Linked DNA regions of Arabidopsis thaliana. The protein of the gene in region 1 interacts with the protein of each later gene in a pairwise test. Each region holds a gene or a part of one and is shown in the gene's direction. Other genes may lie near its edges.

Region 1 (6,272 bases):
TCCATGAATTTCAACAGTTAAAGAGATGATAGGTAGACCCTAACCTGACCCATTTCTTAGCTGAACGAGAAGCCAGAGTCGCCTTGTCCTGATTCTTGCTAGAAGACCCCTTCCTTCGGGATGACCCATTTTGCTTATTCCCACTAAACGCATTGTTTTCCTTACACCTTCTTAAACCAATCGACTCCATACCCGATTTCACCAACTCACAATTACCAATCTTCCTTCTCTTCTTCTCCTCAAAACAATCAATTTCATCAAGCTCCACACTTTCAGTCTTCACAGCCACCGCCTGATCTAGTAAACACTCCCGTAGCGGCCTCTTACGGCGACGATAGTAGACGCGAACAATCTCAGGACGCTGAATCCGCAACTTATAATCATCCGAACGACAACAATCGTCACTAGCACTAACACCGCTACCTTCAATCTCGAATTGCTCAATCATCGGAAGCTTCTGGGCCTTAACCTTCTTAGACATCAGACTGTGAGAACCAACGGCATTAACACAGCACAATGCCGATGAAGGAATAGAGTAGATACTCTCAATAGAATCGTAGCGAATCGGAGCTTCCACTAGATCGTGGACATCAATTTCGATCTGGGTTTCGTTAGAAAAACACGCCATGGAGATTATTCGGAGGGAGAAAGCACAGGGCTTCGTAAAGGAGACACCTTTGCTCACTCTCTCTATCCTTCTTTCACTAAACCCCCAAAAAAATTGCTAGGGAATTTCGTGGATTGGAGAAATTAGGGTTTAGGAAGAAGAATCAGAGAAAAAGGGAAAAAAACAGATCCTTTGGAGGGAGAAGCTAAAAGGCTTTTTTACGTTTCCCGCCGGGTTTATTAAGATGATGACAAGTCTTTCAGATCTATTGCTCTGTCTCCTTATATATCTCCGCATACATACATTCATATATAGTGTGTGTGTGTATGTATATAAAAATTAATATCTGGTTAATAAAAACATATAAAACTAAAAATAAAATAAATAAAAATTCCACTTGTAGAAAAAAAAAATCCCGGTTGTCATGTATTTTATTTTCAACAAGAGTCTTTTTTTTTTGGGCAAAATTCAACAAGAGTCTCTGATTCTTTTATATAGTTTTGTTTTCAGATAATTGTTGTTTACCAGTTTTTGTGTAATCTTCACTACATGGAATTTGTTTTGTTTTTTTTCAGTTCATACGTATATTTTTGGGTTTTTAGTCTGTTAAGTATAGTGTATAAGACATATTTTTCTGGTTAATCCAAATTAAATTCCATTGGAACAAAAAGACAAGATTGACTAGAATTTGAATGAAGGTAGAAATCAACCGAATTGCTCATAAATTCAATTATTGAATGGGGTTCTTCAAGTAATACTACCTATTTTCTCAAATGAGCTAGAGAATTTTCTTGTGAGGAAATTCCAACGATTTGCTCCCTTGGTATTACTTGTTTTGGATTGTTCTGAAGTTTTCTAGAATAATATAATATTTCAACCTAAAAAGCTTAGTTTGTGGATAAATAATCAAACATATGTTAAAGATTTTTGTGATAGATACAAGATTTTTTCTATGAATCGGACAAGTGGAACTCTAATCCAGTTTTTAAGGTGTGATAAGTTGAAGTAAAGATATGAGGTTAAAAGAAACATTTCAACTCACTTCCCTTATCTTCATTCTTAAATGAACGGCTATTCATAGCAATTACTTGATTTGGATTCATAAACCGAATATCTGTCTAGTAGGAGTAGTCTTTACTTAACTTAACTAAAGAACAATATACGGTTGACTGTAGTATATTAGTATGCTTTTGACACATGGAAAATACCGCTGCTAACTTGATCGCATCCAGTGACTTTTGCAGTGTGTCATATATGTTAATAAGGATGTAATCATCATGGTTAACAGTAGTTGCATTTTCTTATGCGGTAGCATACAATGCTCACTAGTGCTCTAAATTGATCCACATAGGGATGCTATACACGCTAGAGACATATATATTTAAAAGTAAGTAAGGTTAAAATACTTGCTTTCATGAGCTTCAAGATAGGTGATGTGTGTACCTCCAAAGTTCTTCCCATCAACTAGGCATTAGAATATGTCGTTTCCTAGATACTTGGGGCAGATTGGCGGCTTATCAGCTTTTCGGATGAAATTTTGATACTTGGACAAACTGGCAGCTGATGGATGGAACTTATTGTCAAAGTATCCATATAGCGTTTGTTGGTTGGCTTTCTCTAGATACCCACAAAATTTACACAACACATATGGCCTATGGTCACAAAATTCTTTGATGTCATCTAACATTGGGATTCATCATCGCTTACATGATTTACGTCCATATATACTTGGACATAAATATTATGGAATGAACAATTTTAAATTTTCATCAAAATACCAACCACACTCACTTAGGATTATGACCAGAACAAATAAAATAATACATACTTGATTAAAAGGAGAAAAACATTTTTTTATGTCTTTGTTAGTTTTTATTTTAAACTATATATTCATCAAAAAAAAAGAGGGAAAATCACATTTTCAGACACATACATGTCCAAAAATATTTGTTTTCCCCTCAAATTCACCTGAACTTAATTAGTAAGAGAATCAGTGACGTCATTTAGTAAGAGAAGACCCGGTTCGGAATAAACCGGCTAAAGAAGACCCGGGTCAATCAGAATCAAAATTGGGTGGTTTTGGTTAGTTAAACAACCCTAGGGATTTAAATACTGTAAATCGTCCAGCTCTATTTGTCCCTCTCCTCCACTCTCGCCAACTATCAATCAAATCTTCTTCTCCTTCTTCTCCGCCATTCTTGTCCCTCTTAAACCCTATCATGCTCTTCTGAGATTCTCCCCTCCTCTAATTCAGCTCTCTCTCTTGGTTGGGAATTTCAAATCGAATATCAACCACTGCCTCTGATCGTCATCAAGGTTTACTCTGTTTAGTGTCCGGATTCTCAAACTCCACGGAGAATGGATCTGCATAGCCTCGCTTTGATCCTCCGAACCGCCGCTCTTAGCCCTATTCCCGATGAGCGTAAAGTTTCTGAGCAGCAACTCAATCAGGTTTCTCAGTTTCCACTTCAATTTCTCTTTCGATGTATTTACACGGTTGCTTGGTCGCGAGTTTGATTGTTCTTATTCTGCTAGTAGTATCTTAAAGTTTGAGCTGAGTTCATGTATAGAGTTTCCTTATAAGTTCACTTTCTGGTTTTACTGAAGATAGTTCAAAGATTCCCACTCTTTTTGAACAAATCGTTATTTGCTTTAATTCACTGTAGCCAGATTTCAGTGGTGTTTACTATTTCTAATGATCAATTAAAGTTATGCAGTTTCTGATGCCTGAGTTTCTCGTTATTCTTTTGTCTTGCAGTTGGAGCACACGCCCCAGCATTTGGTGAGGTTATTGCAGATAGCCGTGGATGGAAATTGTGACATGGCAGTGCGTCAAATTGCTAGTATTCAGTTCAAAAATTTAATTGCTAAGAACTGGTCACCTGAGGATTGTGGTAATAATTTTGTATTCTAATTATCTTGTCTCGGCTTAGCGTTTGGAAGATCTTTAGATTAATTTGCATATTTGATGGTGCAGGTCCTGCAGTAAGGCAGCAGCAGATATTTGAGAGTGACAAAGAATTGGTGAGGGACAATATTCTCGTCTATGTCACCCAAGTTCCAACCTTACTCAGGTAAATTTGCCAGATAGCTTTTGGAATTATCATTCAAGTCATTTGGTTTGCTGAACTCTGTCTGACGTGGTCTGATTTTAAGCGATTTTATGAAAATATTTGTAACCTGTATGGCTAATCATGCCTACAAATTGCTCATCATCTTGTCTGATAGATTGTCTTCAAGCTGATAGTCCTCTTCTTTTATATATACATCTTTGAATGTGTCTCTACATTATCCTTAGGTTCTAGATATTAAAAAACGGCAGATAGAAGATGATTTTTTTTTAAGTTAGTATTTTTTTCTCATTACCTTGGTCCCAATAGCATCTTCTATAAGCCTCAACAACAACCATAATTTTTTTTTCCCCTAATTTTCTTATCCAGATCACAACTTGGAGAGTCTCTCAAGACAATTATTTATGCTGACTACCCAGAACAATGGCCACGTCTTCTGGATTGGGTGAAGTACAACTTGCAAAATCAACAAATTTATGGGGCTTTGTTTGTGTTGCGGATACTCTCTAGAAAATATGAGTAAGTTCACCACTTTCTGTTCCGTATCCCTATGTCTGTGTGTATGATTTAAAGGTTTGTTAGTGAAATTTTTGATATGCGTTATTGAGACATCTTCAAGATTATCTTTGGTGGCAATAGCGCAATTTCGAGTCTTGCATGTATCACACTGAGTAGTGACTAATAAAATTAGGTGGTAACCGATAATATTAAGAGAAGGGAAAGAAGTGTTAGGCAGGAGAAATGAGAGTGTTTAAAACGTATTGTTAGAACACAATGGTTTTCGTGTCTCTGTCAATTCATGATGTCCTGTCAAGTATGTGACGACTTCCAGCTAGAAATGCAAGTTGCTCTTTATATGATGACACCTAAGTAGTATATCCCGTTGATGATGTTTCATGATTTTATTTTCTAGGTTCAAGTCAGATGAGGAGAGGACACCGGTTTCCCGCATTGTGGAGGAGACATTTCCTCAACTTTTGACTATTTTTAATGGGCTTATCCAGATACCAAATCCGTCTCTGGAGATAGCAGAACTTATGAAGTTGATATGCAAAATATTTTGGTCATCCATATATGTAAGTTGCTAGAGAGATCAGTTACATATGCCTCTGCGGAATTTCACATTTTATCTTTCTTAACATAATATGCATATCCTTAAAACACAATTCAAACCAGTTAAGCTGTTTAATGTCTTTTTTACTGTTCTCTGTGGGCAGCTGGAGCTTCCAAGGCAATTATTTGATCTAAACGTCTTTAATGCCTGGATGGTTCTGTTCTTGAGTGTTTCGGAACGTCCTGTTCCAGTTGAAGGTCAGCCTATGGATCCGGAACTTAGAAAATCTTGGGGCTGGTGGAAGGTCAAGAAGTGGACAGTGCACATTTTAAACAGGCTCTATAGTCGGTATGTCTTTGACATTAATATTTTTTTAACAAGAAAGTACGCTTGAAAGGTTTATAGAATATTCTTTAACAGGTTTGGAGATCCAAAACTTCAAAGTCCAGAAAACAAACCTTTCGCCCAAATGTTTCAAAAGAATTATGCAGGCAGAATTTTGGAAGGCCACCTAAATTTCTTGAACACAATTCGTGTTGGAGGCTATCTTCCTGACAGAGTTATCAATCTTCTCCTTCAGTACTTAAGCAACAGGTTTGTGTTACAATCACTTGTAGACATTAGTTTCATGTACATACATGTACACATTCAGTATCCCCACTTGGCTAACTTAAGTATCATCTTTTCTCTGACATTATAAAATTTTTTTTTGGTCACTGAATTTTAAGTTCTTGGAATTAATTAGAAAACTCTTAGAGGTTTAGATGTTTTGTAAAAAAAAATTCGTTGAAACTAATTCGTTGTTTCTGCAGCATTTCGAAGAATAGCATGTACAAGTTGCTTCTGCCTCGGCTGGATGTTCTGCTTTTTGAGATTGTTTTCCCTCTAATGTGCTTTAATGATAATGATCAAAAGCTTTGGGAGGAAGACCCTCATGAATATGTGAGGAAAGGTTACAGTAAGTACTACATAATAATGACTTTCTTAAAAAGTCTTAATTCTTAAAATCATCATTTGTAATGTTATTTGTTGTGCTGTAGATATCATTGAAGACTTGTACAGTCCGCGAACAGCGTCCATGGATTTTGTAAATGAGTTGGTTCGAAAACGTGGGAAAGAAAACCTTCCGAAGTTTGTTAAGTTTGTCGTTGAGATCTTCTTGAGGTATTACATTTGAGCTCTTCTGCTTGGAACTTTTCATATCAGTTGTGTTTTATTGACAACTTGTTTGTCCACTGTTTGTAGTTATGAAAAAGCTACTGTAGAGGAGAAGCCTTATCGCCAAAAAGATGGTGCGATGCTGGCTGTTGGAGCTCTTTGTGACAAATTGAAGCAAACGGATCCCTATAAATCTCAACTAGAGCTAATGTTGGTGCAACATATTTTTCCTGATTTCAATAGTCCAGTTGGACATCTTAGAGCAAAGGTATTTTTGGCTTTAATCTGTGTTGTGGATATCTCAGTAATCCATTGTTACTAGCTTACCGGAATGAGGATTTTGTTTTGCATTTCCACGAAGTCTGTTGTACTTCAATTTATT
Region 2 (5,005 bases), on another chromosome or scaffold:
CCTGGTAGTGGTAGGTTTAGTTAGGTAGGAAACTTCTACTAAGAAATTAAAATTAAATTTTTTTTTGCTTTCGTATTTTCATTAAAGAAGATAATATATGATGTTGGTTGCCAGTTACCTAAATATAGGCTCGGGATGACATGTAATGGACGCAAAGTAGCAAATAGCTTTATTCAAGTTGACATAAAAGAATTGTTGTTACGTAAAAGAAGTGTACTGTATTTTAACAGAATGTGAAATCACCTAACAATAACTTATATAAGAAACTAAAAGAAAGAAACGCATGTCTTCTAAATTTGGCAAGAACGAAGGTTTTGTAACTTGTAAGTAGTTTAAATAAATAAACCATACATTTTTAATAATTAGGAAATATATGTTACATGTTGCACTTTGTATACATTCTAAAAGTCGTATAATGTACCTATTTTTTTAAGATTTGTTTGGTGTGTGTGTAGATAACAAATCACATGTCAATTCTATCCCATTTCTATTTTCTTCGTTATTAAATATACAAATATGTCGGTAGGAGTTCAGAGTAAATGTACACCATGAAATCTACCAAACTCTTTTAAGATTGTCTTTCAGGTATCAAACAAACTTTCACCAATAAAGCTTTTTCCCTTTTCCAAATAAAGAACTCCAAACAAGAATAAAAACCACAATCATTATTCGATATGTTTTTATCGATACTTATTTCAAAATATCCCCTTACCTATTTACAAAAGCATTTCACGAATGTTTTTCTTAGAGTCGTCGTATTTTCATATATACTGATATTAGCTTAATTAGCTCGTGATGACAGCAAAATTCTTGAATATTTTGTAGGCCATGGTCTTTGTAACTTGTCAAGAACATAGATACGTCGGATAAATTCATAGATATCAATTCAAATGATAAGCTAGCTTACGAAAAGCGTTTCTCAAGAAACTATGATTTTTTTCTAAGAATTAGTTGGTCGTTACGATAAATAAGAAACCTTGAATTGATGGAAAAGAAGATAAGGAATTAATTAAGAGATTGGTAAAATGGTAGTTGAGAAAGTAAAAAGGTCACGTGTTAGGGCAAATCATTAATGGAAGAAGGAGAAAGCAGGTAGAAATGCACTCTCCATTTTCATTACATTACAAACTCCACGTGAGGTTTCACCGATTGTAGGAACTCCTGATTTTGTGTTAATTACTCACAAGTAATTATCATATAGCGCGTAGCTAAATATTAGTATAGGATGTAGGTTTTACTTATATAATGCTATATCTCACTACTTTGGTGAAGAGAAAATGGATATTAAAATTTAAACGGTTGATACATTATCTGAATAGTTCTTATATATACGAAACGATTTGTTGAGATATGTTTTAACACTTCTTAAAGGAAGTAGGATAAAGTGGAAGGTCACGAACCACTCCCCATATTGCAGCCAAATCTACACCAAACCGTACCCAAAAATGAAATTAACTTTCCCTCAAAACCAACCTTGTTTGTGTCTTCTAGATTAATCCTCCAAACTTTTGATTAACCAAAAAAATTATCAAACTAACATGTTCTCCTTTTTTCTTTAGAAATTCTAACGAATTTATCTTTATACTGATTTGAATATACTTAATTTGGTCATTTGGATGCCCTTTACAACCTCCTTACCAAACTCACTATGGCAAATATATACTATTTTCCATTGTAACATAAATGTCCATAATTTGAATTAAATTCGTTGCAGTACGAAACCATCCAACTTTGTCCAAAAACAAAATCCTTATAACTATTTACTTTAATGTAAATATATCCTCTACTTTTGTTTTTACAACCCTAGCTCAAACAAATTTATTATTTGCGATATAAAATCATATCGAACAAACTCGATGATTTTTTTTTTCTTACGTTATTAATGAAACTAAAATATAGAAAAAAACAAGATGAACCAAATTTTCACCTATCTAACTACTTAAATATAATATGATTAAATTTGGTAAAGTTTGAAAAGTTTCTTTAGGAAATGTGAAATATTGATCACAGTTTCTATTGCTAAAATCACCAACAAAACGCATGTCGCCATTCATAATTATGGTTTCACACCTACAACTAGGCTAATAAGTAAATAAGTAGACAACTAGACTCAGGTTTGAAAAAACCATAAAAGCCATATAGCGTTTTCTCATTGAAACTGCGAACACGATCGTGTGAATGTTGCAGTTTCTAGTTTTGATACAAACAAACAAAAACACAATTTAATCTTAGATTAAAAAGAAAAAAGAGAACGGAGCCCACTAGCCACTCCTTCAAACGTGTCTTACCAACTCTCTTCTAGAAACAAATTAGGCTTCACCTTCCTCTTCCAACCTCTCTCTCTCTCTCTCTTTCTCAAACCGTCTCTCCATAAAGCCCTAATTTCTTCATCACAAGAATCAGAAGAAGAAAGATGGGAAGGTCTCCTTGCTGTGAGAAAGACCACACAAACAAAGGAGCTTGGACTAAGGAAGAAGACGATAAGCTCATCTCTTACATCAAAGCTCACGGTGAAGGTTGTTGGCGTTCTCTTCCTAGATCCGCCGGTCTTCAACGTTGCGGAAAAAGCTGTCGTCTCCGATGGATTAACTATCTCCGACCTGATCTCAAGAGGGGTAACTTCACCCTCGAAGAAGATGATCTCATCATCAAACTACATAGCCTTCTCGGTAACAAGTGAGTCACAAAACAACTCCTCTGTTTTTTTTACTATCCTCTGTTATGTTAAAAAGCTCTGTTTTTTAAACTCTGTTTTTTTTTTCTTCTATCAGGTGGTCTCTTATTGCGACGAGATTACCAGGAAGAACAGATAACGAGATTAAGAATTACTGGAACACACATGTTAAGAGGAAGCTATTAAGAAAAGGGATTGATCCGGCGACTCATCGACCTATCAACGAGACCAAAACTTCTCAAGATTCGTCTGATTCTAGTAAAACAGAGGACCCTCTTGTCAAGATTCTCTCTTTTGGTCCTCAGCTGGAGAAAATAGCAAATTTCGGGGACGAGAGAATTCAAAAGAGAGTTGAGTACTCAGTTGTTGAAGAAAGATGTCTGGACTTGAATCTTGAGCTTAGGATCAGTCCACCATGGCAAGACAAGCTCCATGATGAGAGGAACCTAAGGTTTGGGAGAGTGAAGTATAGGTGCAGTGCGTGCCGTTTTGGATTCGGGAACGGCAAGGAGTGTAGCTGTAATAATGTGAAATGTCAAACAGAGGACAGTAGTAGCAGCAGTTATTCTTCAACCGACATTAGTAGTAGCATTGGTTATGACTTCTTGGGTCTAAACAACACTAGGGTTTTGGATTTTAGCACTTTGGAAATGAAATGAAATGAAATACTATATTAATCAATTTATAGCTGTGAATTGTGATATAAAAGCTATTAACAGACTCGTTCATGGTTCTCAACTTTTCTAATAACTAGTAATTTTATTCATATCATAGTTGTTAGGATCTGTCGTCATATTTGATAATCTACTAAAAAGATGCGAAAATGTTCGCCATTTGTAAGTGTCGCATGGGTGTAATGCTTTGCTGACAAGACATATGCATTCAAATTCGATCCTTGGTATATTTCTAGAATTTTACTCGATAATCCAACCAATGTTTGACAAATGTATGTCGATGGTTATTCCCAAGAGATTGGACATATCAATGAAGTGGATAAGCTGTGTAAGGATGAGAAGCGTGAGAACGATTGAAAGTGTACATGTTTTCTATTCATTGCAACCTTTTGGCATATTTCGTTTGATTATTTTTAGTACTAATTCAAAGCATTCACTGTGTTGGTAAAATGTCTTTATCACATTAATGTGTTGTTCACTATATTAAACAAAAGTCACTCACCTTATTTCCAAAACTATACAAATATATACATATAAGAACTTAACTAGTGTGGTTTGGTTTTTTCCAAATGTTTGTTTATGTAAAACAACGGACATCAACCTAAAACTTTGGAGTTTAGTTTAGTATCAGGCTAGTGGGCATAATTAGGTTCTTCTACATGTGATAGTGTTAAAGATACGAAATTTCAAGAAATGTATATTGAGACATATATCAAAGATTGAACGATATCAAAATAGATATATGAGTTATATTGCTTTGACCTACTTGATGGATATTTTCATATATAATAAAGTGCAAAATGTAAACTCAAGATTAGGATAACCTATATGAGCAACAAAATATGGAGAGGAATTCTGTAAACAGTCCGAATTAGCTTTCAATGTATAGTTTGTACTTAAATTTTGGTGACGCCTACTAAACAGTAAACACACCATAAATCGACACAAACTACCTGTAAGCTTTTACTGACTATCAAATTAATTCAAATAGATTTGAACCGCAAATCAGAATGATGTAAGTAAGCTAGAACTCAAAACGAATAAAACAAATCATACAAGTTGACTTCTGCATGATATACAAAACTTGGTTGAAGTCCAAAACAATAAATTCAGCCTATCAAAATAAATGGCCTAGTATGAGTAGCCCAATGCATCAAATGGGCTTTTCAACATTGGGATATGCGACTGGGTTGGTGGCATGCCCATCTGTGTAAAACCTATATTATCCTAATCTCTGAGAAACATAAAATAGTATTTTCATCAGAAGTTGAAATTATAGCCGTTGTAAGCTCATATAATGGACGAATATAGTAATATTGAGAATCACTAAAAGTCTCTGTTCCGTCGCTTTTATTGTCCAATTGCAGTGACTCAGATTCTCTGCTCAACTCTCCGCTCCTCCACCATAAAAGAGATAAACAAAAAGCCTACTAATACTTAAAAAGCCTACTAATCTACTATATGATTAGTTTTTGATTACTAGTAATTGTGTTGACAAAATCAACATGTTAATAGTAAACAGAGGATGTGATGAGTTTACGATTAGAGGGTGTTGATTGTTTTAAGAGAAACTAATCGACCGTTATGAATGGATCGTATTATATAGTTATGATGATCTCACTTGCATGTGAACGATCACACTTTTCCTGGTGATGAA
Region 3 (4,990 bases), 6.2 Mb from region 1:
TACTTTTTTCATCGATCAAGATCAGACTATTTCTAATATTTTAAATTAATACCACCACATTTCAAGCAACAATAGGTGAATATTGTTTATTAAAAAATCGTACCGTCAATTACAAACCGAACTTGAGCTTAATATTTAAAAACTGACATTAGTTTAAATATGCGGACGTATTACGTATATCATATGATAAACTATAGGTTTATCTTTTAGGTTCAAAGGGACTAGCAGTTTATATAATATTGAAGGGCTTAATTTAACTTATCAATTAAGTCTTGTCCTAACTAATTCATTAAATAAGTATAACAATATTAGAACAAGCAATCTAAAAAACGCAACCAACTAAATTAAATAAACATAACCTTTTCATCCAACATACATTTTTGAACCCATCAATCAATCATTTAGAATTTAGAAAAATGAAAAAGAAGAGTTGGAGTTATGATAATAAATAATTTTGTATTAAACGAAGTTGGACTATTCCTCCACAAGGCGTCACGTATGGGGGCACATAGGGCTTGTCCCAACAAGATGATAGTGATATATGAGTTTGGTATAACATTGATATTCTAGAACACCTACTATCTTTTTATTGTGTGTGTATTTATCTGTTTGTATTCGTGTTTTTATATATATTGAGGATAAAAATCGGTGACACGTGGTTGCAATTGTTAGAAAATAAAATTCAACGGTGCAATGGTTGGTGTTAATAGATTTTGACTAGGGTGTGAACTTTACGAAATTTTTGATTATTTAATTTGGAATGGAATATGAGATTTTGCCAATTTTCTTTAAAATATGTAGGATAATACCAATTACATAAATTGAAGCATTTTACCAAAATAAATAAATTGAAGCTTGTCATCTCGTTATTATCACTTTGGTTGAGTCAATTGTGAAAATTTTGATTATTTAGGAATACTTTTTTTTTTTCTTTTTTTTTTCTATGCATTTTCAGTTTTAATGGGTCCGATTGGTGACCAATTTTTACAAAAACAATAGACAGGAACAACATGTTTCTTTTTTTTTACCATTTAACAGTAATTTTTTTCTCCAAATTATTATATGTGGACCTCACATTATTCTTAATCGTTCCTTATTTTTTGAGGAATCGTAGAAGAAAATTGTTCTTTCCCAAATTTGATGAGGAATAAACAGAAAAAAAAATTAAATATATATTAATTAAAAATTAAATTTTTAACCTCCACGTTTGTTTGATATTTTTTCTTAACGTCCATGTTTATTTAATATTTAATTTAGAAAATATTTTATTTATTTTTTCATTTTTATACTATTTATTTTATGTTTGGGTTATCATTTACAATAACATTTATTCTATTTTTCTTTTACACTCATTCCTTTTTATTTTTATTTTATAATTTTTTCTTTTTCTATTTATTCTTTTTTAATCATGTTCATTTTTACTCTTTGTATTTTCTTATAGGTTACCAATCGGATCCAATAAATTGTGTTTTTTTTGGCTAGAAAAACATTATGTTCAGCACCATATGCTACACTTTCACGACGAATTTAAAGGTTCTGTGGACAGAAGACAAGTCAACCGCAAAGCAACCCAAGTTCTTGAAAGATGCATGAGTAGAAGATTCATAAATATTTTTTTTTTTTTTTTTTTTTAAATATAATTTGTTCTCGTCGATCTTCCAAGTAATAACATTTTCATATGAATCGTATCTAAATAAAATTATGTTAATCCCGCAAATTCAAACCTACAATATATCCACTATTTTTCTTCTGTCAAAATAAACTATCGGTACTTATAGATCCGGAATATAACATAAGATGATAAATATTTACTTTTATAATAACGATAAGAAATAATAAAAAGCTACTTTTGGTAATAAAAAAAAATGGTAGTAGGAGATTTCAAAGTTGACAATAAAGCGGCTCACTTCTATATTTGGAGGAAAAAGTATAATGGATCCGATTATTAATACAAACCTGTACAAGTTTTTGAACGAGTAAAAAATCATAAGTAATTCAATAATAGTTAAAAACAGTATAAAATAGGGGTATGAGTCACGAAAAAAATTCGAATGGTGACCGAATCGCACATTAATAAAATTCTCTGCATATATATATATATATATTTGTTATTATTTGAACTGCACCGCACTTTATCCGCAGTTGAACTGCATGTTTCCATTAAGACTCTGAGAGTAATATATATGATAAAGCTTTTATTTATTATAATCAGGCTCGACTCATTAGGGTGGAGCGAAAGTGCGACGGTCCAAACCTTATGCCTATTTAAAAAAATTTACATAAGAAAAAGTTTTTTATTTTTTGGAAAAAAAAGTTGTCAAAATATAATTGATAAAATCCCCAAATTTCTTTAAAATATATATTAAAAGGCCCTGATTTTATTTCTAAATGACTTTTATATACCAAAGAGCCAATATTTTTGTAAAATGTTAAAACACTCAAGATATACTTCAAAATAATTGCAAAAGATGCCCAAAAAAAGTTTTACCTAACAAAAGGTCCAAAAAAAAGCAAACATTTACCCTAAGACTCAAATTTATGTTGGGCCGGGTCTGGTTATTATTAAAACGATCAAAGCTAGTGTTTTGTTAAACCGCAATTTTGTAGCATTTCATATGTTAAGATTTGATGGTTGAAAGGAAAACAAAAATTGTGAATAATAATGGTTATGAGATCTAAAACATCAAAGGAAAATCAAGAAGAGAAAGGTATAAAATATTGAATAAATAATATGAATGTGGCAGTTATAGTTTGATGTAGAATAAAAGATTAAACAAAAATCAAGAGCCCCACCAGCCACTCCTTCAAACGTGTCCTACCAACTCTCTTCTAGAAGCAATTAGGCTCACCTTCCACCTCCAACACCTCTCTCCCCTTCTCTCTCCATAAAACCCTCAACAACAGAATCAAAAGCATCATCATCATCAGAAGAAGAGAGTCATGGGAAGATCTCCTTGCTGCGAGAAAGAACACATGAACAAAGGTGCTTGGACTAAAGAAGAAGATGAGAGACTAGTCTCTTACATCAAGTCTCACGGTGAAGGTTGTTGGCGATCTCTTCCTAGAGCCGCTGGTCTCCTTCGCTGCGGTAAAAGCTGCCGTCTTCGGTGGATTAACTATCTCCGACCTGATCTCAAAAGAGGAAACTTTACACATGATGAAGATGAACTTATCATCAAGCTTCATAGCCTCCTAGGCAACAAGTAAGCCCCTATGCTCTGTTTTATATAGCTTATGCTCTGTTTCTTGAAACTTATCCTCTGTTTTTTTATTAGGTGGTCTTTGATTGCGGCGAGATTACCTGGAAGAACAGATAACGAGATCAAGAACTACTGGAACACACATATAAAGAGGAAGCTTTTGAGCAAAGGGATTGATCCAGCCACTCATAGAGGGATCAACGAGGCAAAAATTTCTGATTTGAAGAAAACAAAGGACCAAATTGTAAAAGATGTTTCTTTTGTGACAAAGTTTGAGGAAACAGACAAGTCTGGGGACCAGAAGCAAAATAAGTATATTCGAAATGGGTTAGTTTGCAAAGAAGAGAGAGTTGTTGTTGAAGAAAAAATAGGCCCAGATTTGAATCTTGAGCTTAGGATCAGTCCACCATGGCAAAACCAGAGAGAAATATCTACTTGCACTGCGTCCCGTTTTTACATGGAAAACGACATGGAGTGTAGTAGTGAAACTGTGAAATGTCAAACAGAGAATAGTAGCAGCATTAGCTATTCTTCTATTGATATTAGTAGTAGTAACGTTGGTTATGACTTCTTGGGTTTGAAGACAAGAATTTTGGATTTTCGAAGCTTGGAAATGAAATAAATGAATAGTATTAGATTCTTAATTTGTAGGTGTGATAATGAATGTTAGATTCTTAATTTTGCTTCTTTCTATTTTTTTTTCATCTTTGTTTTCCTTTTTTCCACAACATTTGTATATTAACTTGAAATTTTCAATCAGATTACCGCAAGACCTTGTGTTCCTATGAGATCGATGAGCATTTTGATAGAGATCCACACGTGAATTTGCCATCAGGCATCATGTAGACTAATTAGCTCTCCGACCTACGATAGGATTTAGAACTTATAAATTCCTAAATCTAGTTATAATATACGATAGGATTTAACGTCTATACCCTTATTCATTTGAAAAATGAAAAATGATTTCGTTTGTATCTAACAGTTAATAGGTCTTGTAGTCATGTCAAATTCTTTTTTCAATCATTTTTTGATCCGGTTTGCTTCATCAAGCTTCTGACCAATTCTTAAATTTTTTAACCATCCATGTGTTACGTAAAAGAGAAATTAGTGTATGGTGTAAAATATATCTTTAATTGACCAATAATATGAGGAAACCAGTCAAGGTTATAACAATTTAATTACTTTAAGAGAAAGGTTTACCCGAAAAAGCATTTCTTGTTTCATATCAAAAGAAAATTCTTTGCACACCTCAAAAAAAAAAAAAAAAAAAAAAAAAATCATTCATAATTTATAATAAAATTCACAACGAGAATTAATATCCTTTTACTTGATTTTGATCGTGGTTGGCCATATAGTGAACATTTTAAATGACAAAAATGCTTAATTTTCTATAGAGATTAGGGGACTATCCTATTAATTAAATTCTTACTATTTATTTATTTTCACTATGCTTACTTCTAGAAACTTGAGATTTTTGAAGTAGGTGATGATAAGTTGTGTGAGGATGAGAAGTGGTTGGATGGTACATGTTTCAAGTCATTACTATATATTTTAAAGACTTCCGTAGGATTTTAGCAAATAAAAGTTTATAATAAATCTTATACAAAATAATTTACATTATTTCAGTAGGGTACATAGGACTTCTTCAAACTAAATAGATCTACTAATATCACATGAAAAATATGTAAAAATCAGAGTGTCTCACGTAGATACACTAGGTTACACAATATCAAGGACCCGACAGGTCAATTTAGATCACACGAACTGCAGGTTGACTAATGATTGTGGGA
Region 4 (5,270 bases), on another chromosome or scaffold:
TGTATAATTAATCATCCACCGTCACCAACCATCCACCTTATTTTCACGTCTCGTAAGGGAAACAGATCATAGTAGCATCTTACTCTTCTGAAATTAAAGACTCTATCAGTTTATCACAACTCAACTATTATGGAAAACTTAACTTATTCTTTGGTCGTCAATAAAATCTAATCTTTACCTTGAGATCAAGGTGATCTTAATTCTTGTATCTGAATACGCAAAGTTGAAATTAAATATCAAACAAATGAATCCATTATTAAAACAATAATAATAAAGTGGAAGGTGAACCAAATCCCACGTCCCAACCGCATACGGACCTAAATAATATATAGTTTTTTTTTGTTTTTGGCAGCAACCTAAATAATATAATTATCCTACTCTTTTTTAATATCAGTATATTTACTTAAAGAAAATGCCAAATTAATCAGTACATTGTGATTTCGCTTCTATATTATATTTGTGACACAAGTTTTGCTTTTATATTATAGCACATCGCTATTTCCTCCACGTCATTTACAATCCCATTAGTAGTACTACTAACAAGTAATAACATATTATTCCTAAAACAAAAAAACAAAAAAAAACAACAGAGAGAATAATTCACCTGGAGAACTATTATTCTCCCATGATGTTAAAAAACGTTTTGCATGTAGTGTTGCTGCATTTGGTTTTTCATAAAACAATATTACGAATTTGTCTCTTACAATTTAGTTGCAAGAAAAAAGAAAGAGCAGTAAATAAGTTAATTGGGTATAAATAGTGAATGTGAAAAACTGACTGATTGGGGTTTAATTTTGATTCAGATGTAAATGGACGTAAACTTTTGTTGATGAATTGAAGAATCTTGGCCTTTAGCTAAGAACCTAACCTTCTAGAAGAGGGCCATCATCATGCATGAGGTGAGTGATTTTGTACCAATAGATTAAACAAATTGAAATTCAACTACTCTCTCTCTCTCTCTCTCTCTTTTTCGGTTTTTTCATCTTTTTCAATAAACCATTATTCTTTTTCGTTTCTTCTCACATTTTCCACCTAACTTACCAAATTTCACAATTAAGTTCAACTTTTTTTGTTTAGCATACATGGACAGTACACAGTAGATACTATAGTTTAATTATTCTCTCCTATATACTGTTATGTGTTCTATTCTTCAACTATTCTCCTGACATACGAATTACTACATACGTATATGATTAGTGTTGTCGATCGTATTCTAAAAATATAGATACGATTAGTGCTATAATAATATTCCGTCCAGTTAGAGTTCAACATTATTAAAAAAATATCTCTTAATAAGTCTTGATTTTTCAAGTCTCTAATATGAAAGAAATAGAAGTTGGTTAGAGAAAACCATTCTAAGTCAAGGTTCTAGAAGGCACATTCTTTAATTCAAATAGTTTATCATATATGTATATTTCTAATTTATATGTATGTGTCATGGTGGTTCTTGTTGTATTGTTTTTATACTGAAATATTAAAGAAACATGAGCATCATCACAAATATTTTAAACATGAAGTGCTTGTCATTTGGTGAGAGTAATTTGAAAACCATATATAAGTTACAAGTTATCCTGCCCACACATATAATTAGTTATTTGATAATGCTTTGTTTAATTAGCAAGTGATTGTATTAGGGTTAAGTTCTAGATATATTATTGATTAAAAAAACAATAACTAATCCAGTGCAGTCTATATATTAGAGAAAAGACTGTTGACCAGTACAACAAAAACCTCATAGGCTATATAGTTGACCTGCACTTGTCCAAAAAACACTCATTAACTTTACCACCTACCTCCACTACTTCATTATATCTTCTCTTCGTTATTGCTACCAAATTATTCAAGTTTCCCCTTCCTTTGTTAGACCCAAATTTTTACTTGTGACCTATAATATCTGGCGATAAAAGCCATTCACAAACTTTTTGTTTTACTGAATTTTAGGTTTTCTACATTAATTTTCACCCGCCTAAGTTTTACTACAAACTTAATTCATACGATAGGTAAGAGACTCCAAAAAAATAAAAATAAATTACTGTTTGTACTAAATCGGTCGAAGTTAAAAGACGATTTGTCAATAAATGTACACAGTCGAATACTCGAATTGTCATGTATTGATTAATTTCTTGACAGAGTTGGTTTATATTTTGTACTAAATAAAACTTGTTGCAAAGTAAAAAAAGAAAGAAAAAAAATTAAAGAAGTAGCTAAATAATTTTGGTTTATGTATATACGAACACGAGAAATTTCTTTGATTACATATATATATATATATATATATTTAAGTGAGAAATATTAAATTTGTTGTCATGATTATTAAAAAAATGTCATAGCTTTATCAAAAGACTATGATGCCATATATGTCAAGCTTCTCACTTATTGTACCAAAACGAAAGGCCACCATACACTACTCATTCAAATCCATCCCACCAACTCACATCTAGAAGCAATTATAAGTTCAACTCTCTTTCTCTCTCCTTTTCTATCATCTAGAAGCATTTGTGTATATATATATATGTGTGTATATTCCTCTCTAGCTTTAAGTCAAAACCCTATATAAACTATACACCAAAGCTTTGAACCTTCAACCAAACCCAAAATCCAAGTGCCCCACCAAATGCTTCAATCCTCTTCCACTACACAAAAAAACAACTTAATCCCTTTATACCCTTTTAGCCAAAACCCTCGCTAAAAGCCAATCCCTCAATATAAAATAACAAGTAGAATTGATCTGCCTATATATAAGATTTTGAGACGAAATAAGATCTAAACCACAAGAAAGAAAGTAAACATAAAAGTATGGGAAGGTCACCGTGCTGTGAGAAAGCTCACACAAACAAAGGAGCATGGACGAAAGAAGAGGACGAGAGGCTCGTCGCCTACATTAAAGCTCATGGAGAAGGCTGCTGGAGATCTCTCCCCAAAGCCGCCGGACTTCTTCGCTGTGGCAAGAGCTGCCGTCTCCGGTGGATCAACTATCTCCGGCCTGACCTTAAGCGTGGAAACTTCACCGAGGAAGAAGACGAACTCATCATCAAGCTCCATAGCCTTCTTGGCAACAAGTGAGTACTATACTCTCTAAATATGGGCTTATTTAACTAGCTAGTATCGTTTATACCCAAAAAAAAACAAAAAAAACTAGTATCGTTTTAATTTATACAAAATGAAAATCTTGGAGTTTTCAATCTATCTAAATGATGTTATTTTTTGTTGATGATATATAGATGGTCGCTTATTGCCGGGAGATTACCGGGAAGAACAGATAACGAGATAAAGAACTATTGGAACACGCATATACGAAGAAAGCTTATAAACAGAGGGATTGATCCAACGAGTCATAGACCAATCCAAGAATCATCAGCTTCTCAAGATTCTAAACCTACACAACTAGAACCAGTTACGAGTAATACCATTAATATCTCATTCACTTCTGCTCCAAAGGTCGAAACGTTCCATGAAAGTATAAGCTTTCCGGGAAAATCAGAGAAAATCTCAATGCTTACGTTCAAAGAAGAAAAAGATGAGTGCCCAGTTCAAGAAAAGTTCCCAGATTTGAATCTTGAGCTCAGAATCAGTCTTCCTGATGATGTTGATCGTCTTCAAGGGCATGGAAAGTCAACAACGCCACGTTGTTTCAAGTGCAGCTTAGGGATGATAAACGGCATGGAGTGCAGATGCGGAAGAATGAGATGCGATGTAGTCGGAGGTAGCAGCAAGGGGAGTGACATGAGCAATGGATTTGATTTTTTAGGGTTGGCAAAGAAAGAGACCACTTCTCTTTTGGGCTTTCGAAGCTTGGAGATGAAATAATATTGTCAAATTTTAGGCGTAACTGTACAAAACTTTTGCCTAGATAATTTGAAAGTATATCTTCAACTTGTATGAGAAATTTAACTGGTGAATTATAATATATAGAATTTGTTTTTTTTTCTCTTTTACAAATTAACTCCATTGGCATAAATATTAAATACCGGATCTAGACGATCGGTGATAAAAATATAGATCATTAGATCGTATAGCTCTATTGTAATTAATTTGTATACGATTAAGATTATCAGTTTATGAGGTAAGATTAGGTTGGTTGCCCAAATAACTCGTTATCCAATGTTGGAGATAAGCCAAATAAGGAGAAAAAAGATTACGAGTATGGCAAAGATACTTGATCACATAATACTTAGATTGTACTGGTATAGATGATACCTTGTTAAGATCTATAATTAAAGATCTAGGAGAAGAACGTGAAACAGAAGATAAATCGAAAATGTTTCATGACAAGTGGAAAGTGAGGTTTGTAGTTAATTTGGCAGGAATAGAAAAGTTGTAAGAGAAGGAGGTAGGAGAAAACTTAAATGTTTTTAAGATAAAAAAAGGAAAGAAAGAGATATGTGAAAAAGAAAAAGAAAATAATGAAAACCATAAATGAAGGAAAGGAAGCAACAACCAATGGACCCTTTCTTCTACCAAACTCTATTTATTTCTCACTACCCATCTCCCTACCAACCTATATACCAACCTTTCCTCATCTTTTGTCCACTTGCAAGCGATCTACATCTGCATACATACATACATACATACATACATACATACATATTACACATGAATGCATAACATACATATACTGTATATCCATATACCACATAATATATTTATGCATGCATGCATATAAAAATTATGTATAGGAGTTTCATTGAATGTAGCCACATGGTTGAATTTAGAAAGAGTAGCGACTCGTAAACTTAAACATTGTTCTATCGTAAGATGCTTGGTAAAATCGGTGTTGTACATGTTCCTTCGTTGATATCCTCTCCTCAACACTACAAAAACCCTCTCTAGCTACTACATTAATTATCATCTCAAATCCCAATAGAGCAGTATATTATTTCCTCGTATATATTTAGATTTAGTTTTAAAATTGATCAAATGGTTATATACTCCAGTTGTGTGTTTGTTTTTTTGTTTTGGCCAAAAATTGGTAAGATCTCAAAAACTGGTATAATCACTTGAGAAATTATATGATCACCAAATGACAAGTTGTTGTCACTAGCACTGGGGCTTGATATATATCATATTCTGATGAAGATACAAACTCAACAATAATGGAATCAATAAGAGTTTTCTCAGGTTGCATCAACTAATGAAACAAATTTAAAGTTGGAAAAAAAAACAAAATCAGTTGAAGTCTAAAATAAAGTTGAGAACGTTTGATTAATTTCGAACATCGAGATTTAACAGTGGTTGGGTAAATATTATGAAAGTGAAGGAATAACAAAAAA

Evidence for each region.
Region 2: the proteins of SAD2 (region 1) and MYB32 interact in a two-hybrid assay, tested with the Arabidopsis thaliana proteins (one study listed by BioGRID).
Region 3: the proteins of SAD2 (region 1) and MYB7 interact in a two-hybrid assay, tested with the Arabidopsis thaliana proteins (one study listed by BioGRID).
Region 4: the proteins of SAD2 (region 1) and MYB4 interact in a two-hybrid assay, tested with the Arabidopsis thaliana proteins (one study listed by BioGRID).

The regions. Positions count from the first base shown.
Region 1 is NC_003071.7:13,461,554-13,467,825, forward strand, and holds the start of SAD2 (ARM repeat superfamily protein), read left to right. Parts: upstream 1-2,740; 5' UTR 2,741-2,965; coding exon 2,966-3,058; intron 3,059-3,365; coding exon 3,366-3,501; intron 3,502-3,584; coding exon 3,585-3,681; intron 3,682-4,047; coding exon 4,048-4,197; intron 4,198-4,591; coding exon 4,592-4,754; intron 4,755-4,895; coding exon 4,896-5,080; intron 5,081-5,152; coding exon 5,153-5,326; intron 5,327-5,544; coding exon 5,545-5,690; intron 5,691-5,772; coding exon 5,773-5,896; intron 5,897-5,977; coding exon 5,978-6,158; intron 6,159-6,272. Other genes in the region: ATX1 (homologue of trithorax), read right to left, coding at 45-628.
Region 2 is NC_003075.7:16,659,698-16,664,702, reverse strand, and holds MYB32 (myb domain protein 32), read left to right. Parts: upstream 1-2,153; 5' UTR 2,154-2,413; coding exon 2,414-2,676; intron 2,677-2,771; coding exon 2,772-3,333; 3' UTR 3,334-3,602; downstream 3,603-5,005.
Region 3 is NC_003071.7:7,254,501-7,259,490, reverse strand, and holds MYB7 (myb domain protein 7), read left to right. Parts: upstream 1-2,659; 5' UTR 2,660-2,940; coding exon 2,941-3,203; intron 3,204-3,275; coding exon 3,276-3,822; 3' UTR 3,823-4,018; downstream 4,019-4,990. UniProt on the Arabidopsis thaliana protein: Transcription factor involved in the negative regulation of flavonol biosynthesis.
Region 4 is NC_003075.7:18,051,070-18,056,339, forward strand, and holds MYB4 (myb domain protein 4), read left to right. Parts: upstream 1-2,290; 5' UTR 2,291-2,796; coding exon 2,797-3,059; intron 3,060-3,221; coding exon 3,222-3,807; 3' UTR 3,808-3,971; downstream 3,972-5,270. UniProt on the Arabidopsis thaliana protein: Transcription repressor involved in regulation of protection against UV. Mediates transcriptional repression of CYP73A5, the gene encoding trans-cinnamate 4-monooxygenase, thereby regulating the accumulation of the UV-protectant compound sinapoylmalate.